Linked DNA regions of Mus musculus. The protein of the gene in region 2 interacts with the protein of the main gene of each other region in a biochemical or structural test. Links are inferred from orthologs where the notes say so. Each region holds a gene or a part of one and is shown on either strand. Other genes may lie near its edges.

Region 1 (3,816 bases), on a different chromosome or scaffold from region 2:
AGAGAGGCAGCATGAAGATGACTCTTATCACAGCCAGCCCTAACCCAGCCAAGACGCCTGGACTGGCCCTGTTCCACAACGCCCTCTGCCAGCAACCCTTATCTCCCAGATGCAGGCAACCACTTGGGCTGAGCCCAGCTCAAGCAGCAAGCCCACTGCCATGGGAAAGAGGAGAGGCCCACCACACACAAGCAGGACTAATCCTAAACTAGGCATGGTCACCATGCACACTTAAATAGCACACTTTTAAAAAAGATTATTTATTTTATGTATATGAGTACACTGTCCCTATCTTCAGACATACAAGAAAAGGGCATTGGATCCCATTCCATGGTCATGAGTCACCATGTGGTTGCTGGGAACTGAAATCAGGACCTCTGGAAGAGCAGTCGGTGTTCTTAACCACTGAGCCATCTCTCTAGCCCACACATTTATTTTTAGTTTTTATTTAATGATTAAGTTTTTAATTTGTGTGTGTGTGTGTGTGTGTGTGTGTGTGCCTCCATGACTGTCTGTGCACCACTCACATGCAAGTGCCCTCATTGGCCAGAAGAGCGCATCATATCCCCTAGAACTAGACTTACAAGCTGCTGTGAGCAGCCTGGTGTGGGTACTGGAAAATGAACCCTGGTCCTTTGGAGGAAGAACAGCACGTGCTCCTAACTGCTCAGCCATCTCTCCAGCCCACGTTTATGTTCAAAAGTGGGCATACAAACCATGAGTAAATGCCTGGAAGCCCCCACCTAGGTTCTACCATTGAAACTTTACTTGCTGCAATGTGTATCTATCAGTCATGCACAGGAACCTCTGTTGTTCCCTTTGGCTGGTGCTATTTTATCCCCCATCTCCCTTCTCAAAGATGAGGCAGATGCGTGCACCTGACACTGGGACAGTCCTGGAATAAGACCTAAATTTGCCTCTTGAAGGGAGCAGAGCCGGCCACATCTCAACCCCAAGCCCAACCCCACAGGAATGCTTACTGGAAGCCCAGGCAGCTACCCTTTCTCCAGACTGCAGATGCAAATATGTGACAGACTATGGCTATGACTATGTTCCACTTGGGGTTAAATGCTCTCCTGGCTCTGGGTCATTCAACGTACCCCCCAACACTCACCAGAAGTCTATGTCTCATGGCTGTAGGTTTTATTCTTAATCAACAGTGAATTTGAGAATATCCAATAATGCAAGAATATTTGGTTTAGTAATAACAGCTCCATCTCTAGAATATTAGAAACCATGTCAAAGTGGCAGGTGCAGTTGCTCACACCTATAACGTCAGCGCTTGGAAGGCTAAAGTAGAAGGATTGCCCTGATTCCAAGTAAGCTCAGGCTCTGAGTTTCAGGCCAGCCTGGTCTCAAAGTGAGACCTGGACTCAAAGACCGAAACAGAAGCCAGTGAGGCTACTCAGCACATAAAGGCACATGCCACATGAGTCCTACCCCAGGACATCTCTCTGCAGGTTGAGAAGAGATGCCTGGGCCTGGACTCAGAGCTCCCCTTTGTCCTGTCTAGTCCCACCTGTCCAAAGTCGGCTTCAGACACACTTACTCAGCCTCCTCCATGGCCACTGGGCACTTGTACTGAGCTGTGTTGAAGAGACAGATGTCTGCATACTGGCGCACTGGGGAAAGAGGGAGCAGGGGAGGTGGGTACATGAGTCAGGGGGTACCTCTCAAGATAGCCCTCAAGTTCCCTGTAGTAGGTGTGCTTGCTTAGATTGAGACAACGACCAGCATTTATCAGAGGCCACCACCCCAGACTCCACCCACACAGAAAACCCCATCAAAACCCAGTCCCTTCCATGACCAAATCTTTCCTCCCAGAACAGCTTGTCCAGGGCCCAGAAAGCCTATGAAGGGGCATGCAAAGCGGTAAACCCACTGCCCCAAGTGCCTACAGCTTTGAAGCCACTGTAGGCTGACAGCAGACCCAAGCTTCCAAAGCTACTAATGGTATCATCTCAGGCTTTTAACAAAGGCCACACCTGCAGCTATCCCAACCCTCGGTAGGATCCCCAGCTACCCGAGATCTTGATCTTCTTCACAGTCTTGTTGGTGTTGTTGGTGACGTGGACATTAACGCTGATGGGTTCTCCGTGGTAATAGATCTGTGAGGCAGATGACAGGAGAGCATGGACAGGGACACTGAACTCTGCCCCCAGCTCACCAGCCACTTCCCACTGAGATAAAAGTGTCACAAAACTACCAAGCATATGGACCTTCAGTACCACTGTGGGACCTTTCAAAGATATCTGTATTAGAAGATGACATTCCTGAACTCGGGGGACTGCTCTGCCAGTCAAGTACTTGTGTTGCAAACACGAGGACCTGAGTTTGATCTTGTAATCCCAGCACTAGGGAGGCAGAGACAAGAGGATCCCTGAGGCTCGGTGCCCACAGAGTCTAGCCGAGTTAGTAAGCTCCAGGCCAATGAGAGACTGCCTCAAAGGAGGGGGATGGCACTCCTGAGAATAATACCTCCAAGGCTGTCCTCCAGATGTACACACACACCCACCCACCCATGCACACTCACACATACACACATAGGAAAATGAAGCTGACATCTTCGGCTCCAGTCTCATTCTGACCACCAGCTAAGACAGCAATAATAGCAATGATGGTGACAACCATTGCATAACCTTGGACAGGTTAAGTGAGATGCTGTTTCTCCTTTATCCTATGTGCAGGCTTGAACAGAGTAAGGTCTCAAGTTCCTGTGGGCTCTGATGGTCTGGGTTCACAGACACATTAAACTCTAGAAGACTCAGAGAAAGAGAGGAAAGGCTAACCAGCTACTGGAGGACCTGCTCGGAATTCTCAGGGACCACCTTGTCCAGGCTCTTGTCTTTAGCTACCCCAAGAAGGAGGGACATACCCATACCCCAGTCAGCTGGCTCAGAGTCACCTGACTTCAAGAACTTTTCACCTTCTAGCTCACTGATAAGGGTAATAGCAAGGAGACCCTGAGTCCTGTTCCCCATCACCACCCTGCTGATTAGCTGGGGTTCTCCCTCCAGTTTGAAACAGGCAATTATAAGAGTGTAAGGAGGAATGGCCAGGACCCTTCCATTGCTCCTGTTCCATAGGTGCACATGCCCACCTCTGCCAGTCCTTTGGACCCCAACAGGATTCCCCAAACCCTCAAGGACAGTCCAGAGACACTGGGACCTGAGGGATAGTAGAGCTGAGGACAGTGGTGTCTGGGCCTCTTACCTCCTTATCCAGTGATGCCTCAAGGTGTAGGGGCTTGTCTGACATAAGGAACTGTCTGGTAGTCTCAGCCGTGGGCTGAGGGCCAGGTCTCTCAGGGGCATACTGAACCTTCCGGATGACTAGCCGCACAGAGTTCCTAAGGAAGATGCATGGGGAGAAAGACAGAGTCACCAGCCTCCACTCTCTTCTCTGTAATACCTAGACCCCTCTCCTGTTCAAGAGTCTACTGTAGCTCCCCATTGCCCACTGATCACAGAGGTTGAGCAGGAGGGTTTGTCACCATGTGACTCAGCCCCAGCCTCCTCAATTCTGTCCCTGAGCCACCCGACAACAGCACTTCATTTGGGTCTGCGTGTCCCAGTCCCCAGCATGATGGTAAGAAAGGGCCTATTTTTTACTTTGTGTTCCCCGTGTCTCCTAATAGTGTAAGCCGCTGGAGGATGGGAACTTCTTGCCCAGCTGGTTCACTACCACGGTCTCAGCACACGGGCCAGTACCTGCTGCCTGGCAGCCTTATCTGCTATGTGGAAGCATGCAGAACTGACAGGCCCTTGTGGGAGGTGGAGGTGGGGGGGTCATTATGGGATGTTGATTCAGCCAAGA
Region 2 (3,916 bases):
CACATCTATGCTCTTACTTTCAATGGCCAAATAAGTACAATTATAACTATTGATTCCACTTGAGTGCTTACTATATGCTAGACACTATTACAGGGGATTTGCTTCTAGTAATTTATTTCATCTTCAATGGTTTGTCATTTCCGTTTCTTATTTATGAGGAAACAGACAGAGGAGTTTGTCCAATCTCTTTAATGTCGGACAGTTTAGCGGTCATCAAAACTTTGATATTGTAAACAACGCTGCCATTAATATCTTGGTTCATGTTTTAAAAGACTGTAAGATTTAAAATTCAGAATAACTGGAACCAGAGGCACATTTCCAAAAGCTGGCTATATACTTCCCATCCTTTCTCTTAAGAATGCTGTAATTTATACCCCATCAGGCAACTTTGTTTCCCATCCCTTGGATTCTTTTAGTTTTAAATGACTGAAAACGTTAACCGATGCTTTAGTTTGCTCCTCTTCCTCCAAAATTCGACTTTAACTGTTTAGTAAGCAAGCTGTTTGTACTGTTATACAAATCTTGTTGACATGTTTATAAGCTTCCCTTTTTGTAAGGGTCCCTATTTGGGCACTTTTTACCGAATCTCAGTGCATGTGCAAGACCGACTTGCTAACTTTACGTAATATTTCCAAGAGATGATTCTTTAGATTTCACATGATTTAGAGGACAATGTGTGTGTGTGTGTTGGGAGCTGGGGAGGGGGCGTGCGTTACATACATATGTACAAATTAGATCACCAAATCAACATTTTAAGTTGCCAAGAGTCCTCATCAATGTCTGGCTCCATTTTTCATGTGTGTGTGTGTGTTTTTTTTTTTTTTTCAATTTCTGCCGTTGGGTGTGCGTGCTTATCTCAGGCTGAGAAGGTCTAATCTTCTCAGGGACTCAGTGACTGCACGTTTAGTCAGTCGGAGCCCACACCCAGGAAGGCTCCCTCTGATCTCAGGCTGGGGAATGAGCCAGCGTTACCTCAGCCTCTCGAGAGGCTGTGCGCCTCGACACTCCCTCCAAGGGATTCAGGCCAGCTCCACCAGCTCACATGACTCCAATCCCAGCAACTTCCATGAACCCTCGACGAGCGCGCTCAACATTTTCCTCGGGTAACCCAAAGGACTGCCTGACTTTCTAGAGGGATTGCAACATCACAACAACCCATCGAATAAACCCAAGGAGTTAAAAATTAAGGGTTTGGCTGGACCCAAACTGAACCCTCTCCCTCTCCCAGTCTCTTATTCACTCTAGAGGCTCTTAGTCGGCCTCGGTGCGCCTGAAGGACCTCGTCCTCCCGAGACGCCCGGGGACATGGAAAAGCCGAGAACCTAGCCGCTAACCCCACGGGCACGCGGGAACTCAGCAGAGGAAGAGACAGCGGCGGCTCATCGCGTGGGCCTCGGCGGAGGCGGCGGGCTCTGGCCAGACCCGGAGCGGGCAGTGTTCAGGCAGCGCTCAAGTCGCCTACATTCCCGACACGCCCCGCGCGGGGGCCTGTTCCGCTTCTCGGCTGTTGCCGCCGCCGCCGCCTCTGTTGCTGGGGTGGGTGAGAGGAGGGGCTGAGAGGGACCCTGCACTGGCAGGCAGGCGCCCTTGCTGTGTTTGTACCTGAGGGGCCTCCTTTCTCCGTCACCCCTAGAGTGCCGCGGGGTCGAGGGGCAGTCCCCGGGGACACCTCGGCACGCAGCGGACATGCCTCTCTTTGCCACCAACCCCTTCGACCAGGATGTTGGTAAGTGTTTTCACCGCCCCCCGTGGGTGCCCCCCGAGACTGCGAGCCCGCGCCGACTCCCGTCCCACTGCGTTCGTTCATTCTGGATTCCCGAGGCCGAGCCCACGTTCTTCTCTCCCGGGGCCCCTTCGTTCAGAGTTGGGAGAGGGTTGAGCGCTTGGCGCATCCTCTTTGGAAGAAATGGGACTTAGAACCTCTCTAATGGGCCTTGGTAAGGGACTTGGGGAGGGGGAGCTTTGAAGGAATCGCTTAAGGGATTCGGGGTAAAGGGTTGCCTCGGGAGGAACAGACGACGAAGCCATCTGCCGCTGGGGCATGGCTTCTGGGAGAAGAGCGAAGGACAGACGTATCTTGGCTTAAGCAGATTGATTATATGCTCTATCGCCAAAGTATTTGCCTGGCCCAATGGAACTGGCAGAATGTTTTAGGTAAGGTTACTTAAAGGGTTTTTTAAATAGCCCTATAACGGTCCCTGGAGGAGAGAGGTCTGGTTACGTACTGGTAGGTTGAAATGTTGGAAGAGATGGAGATGGATTACTTGGCAACAACTGAAAACGCAGACATGAGCCTTTGGGATGCCTTTTTCAGGCTGGGCCTCTGCCTTTGGGGAAGTGTGGAAGAGGATTTTGATTCTAGGATGGGGTCTGAAATGCTAAATTTTTTGTTGTCTGAATCATTGGTATTAGGTACCAAGCATACCAATTTAACAGGTTAGCTATCTATTTTTCAGACCTGATTTGAATTTCTTGAAAGAATTTTGGGATGTTTTTGAATGCATTACATTGAACTACACTGGCAGCATAGTGTGGAATGAAAGCGAACCAATACCATCCAGTCCCACAGGCTGAATTTAAGCATAACTGTAGTAAAAGAATGTAAGGATAACTTGTGAGAGTTACTTTATGAATTTTGTTTATTAGAGGTGAATTTTACATTTTGCCAACTGGAGAAAATGTACTATTACTGCCGCTTCCTGCCTGGTTCATAGTGATTCAGTTGAATGTCCTGAATCTGAGCTGTGGATGGAACTTTAGAAATCATCAATAGTGCTAAATAAGTAATGAATTGGGAAATTGTGTTTAATAAGTGCTTAGCACCAGTACTTACTGAACACAGTGTTCATTGACAAGAAATGCAACCATGAAGACCATCTCATTGCGGCTCTTTGGCTGTTTTACAATTTGTTACATCAGTCTTTAGGACAAATGCTTATAATAAAACAATATTTGCTGCCTCTGTTCCTGGCACCTATAGTGATCCTATATGATCTTGCTTTCTGCTAATCAGTCACACTTATATTCTCCTGGCTTGTTCCTTTTTGTGGTATTGGAAATGGAACCCAGGGCCTAATATGTATTCTTTCTGTTTTTTTTTTTTGAACTCACATTTGCAGTGGATTCAGATGGATTTCTTGATGTTAAACCTGTTCTTGCTACCTACACCGCCCAGTCCAAACACAGGCCCCTTCTTGCCTTTATACTTTTGTTTCTGTTATTTCATGTGTCTTTCCACACATATGTCCTCATGCTTTAAGGTCAACTTAGAGTCTGACTTGTTGTACCTGAATTATTTGCTGATTCCTGCAACCTGGAGTTTATAAGTAGCAGTGTTACTGACAGTTTGGAATAGATAAAATCCTTAAGGAGGTTATGCTCTATACATGAAGGCTGTTAACTTTGTATTTGCTCTTCACTCAGTGGATGCCAGTAACATCTCACAGCCAGTCATGACTTTAAAAGACATGACTTAATGTCTCGGGGGCTGTTTAAATACAGTGATTTTTCACCTTCCCCATGTTCTACAAATTTCAGCATTTTTGTCTTAAACATTACATATCAATGTGTTCTTTATTTTGCTCCTTGTTTGATGGCTGCTGCATAGTTGGCTTTGAATAAGTGCTTGTTGAGTTGAAACTATGTTAAGCCTGTTAGACATGTTTTTTTAGAAATCACTCTGAATTATAAAGATACTTTGTGCCATCAGGTCCCTACTGATTTGTATTTACCGATCCCAACAGCCAGTTCCTCATCCAGTTTTTTATTGATGTCTTACATTTTTCTTCTGTGCTTTATCCATAGGTTTGTAGGTCATCAGCCCTTTTCTGGTTTTCTGCTTAGCTTTTTAGTGTCCCCTCCCCCACTTTTTTTCAGTGTCTAAATGCTGAGCAGTAATAACAGCTCTTCTCCATTA

The links.
Region 1: the proteins of Stam (region 2) and Arrb1 form a complex in vitro, tested with the Homo sapiens proteins (2 studies listed by BioGRID). The link is inferred for Mus musculus from reciprocal best matches to the Homo sapiens genes STAM and ARRB1.

The regions. Positions count from the first base shown.
Region 1 is NC_000073.6:99,590,796-99,594,611, reverse strand, and holds part of Arrb1 (beta-arrestin-1), read right to left. Parts: intron 3,350-3,816; coding exon 3,214-3,349; intron 2,109-3,213; coding exon 2,024-2,108; intron 1,623-2,023; coding exon 1,550-1,622; intron 1-1,549. UniProt on the Homo sapiens protein: Functions in regulating agonist-mediated G-protein coupled receptor (GPCR) signaling by mediating both receptor desensitization and resensitization processes.
Region 2 is NC_000068.7:14,072,611-14,076,526, forward strand, and holds the start of Stam (signal transducing adapter molecule 1), read left to right. Parts: upstream 1-1,489; 5' UTR 1,490-1,686; coding exon 1,687-1,726; intron 1,727-3,916. UniProt on the Homo sapiens protein: Involved in intracellular signal transduction mediated by cytokines and growth factors. Upon IL-2 and GM-CSL stimulation, it plays a role in signaling leading to DNA synthesis and MYC induction. May also play a role in T-cell development.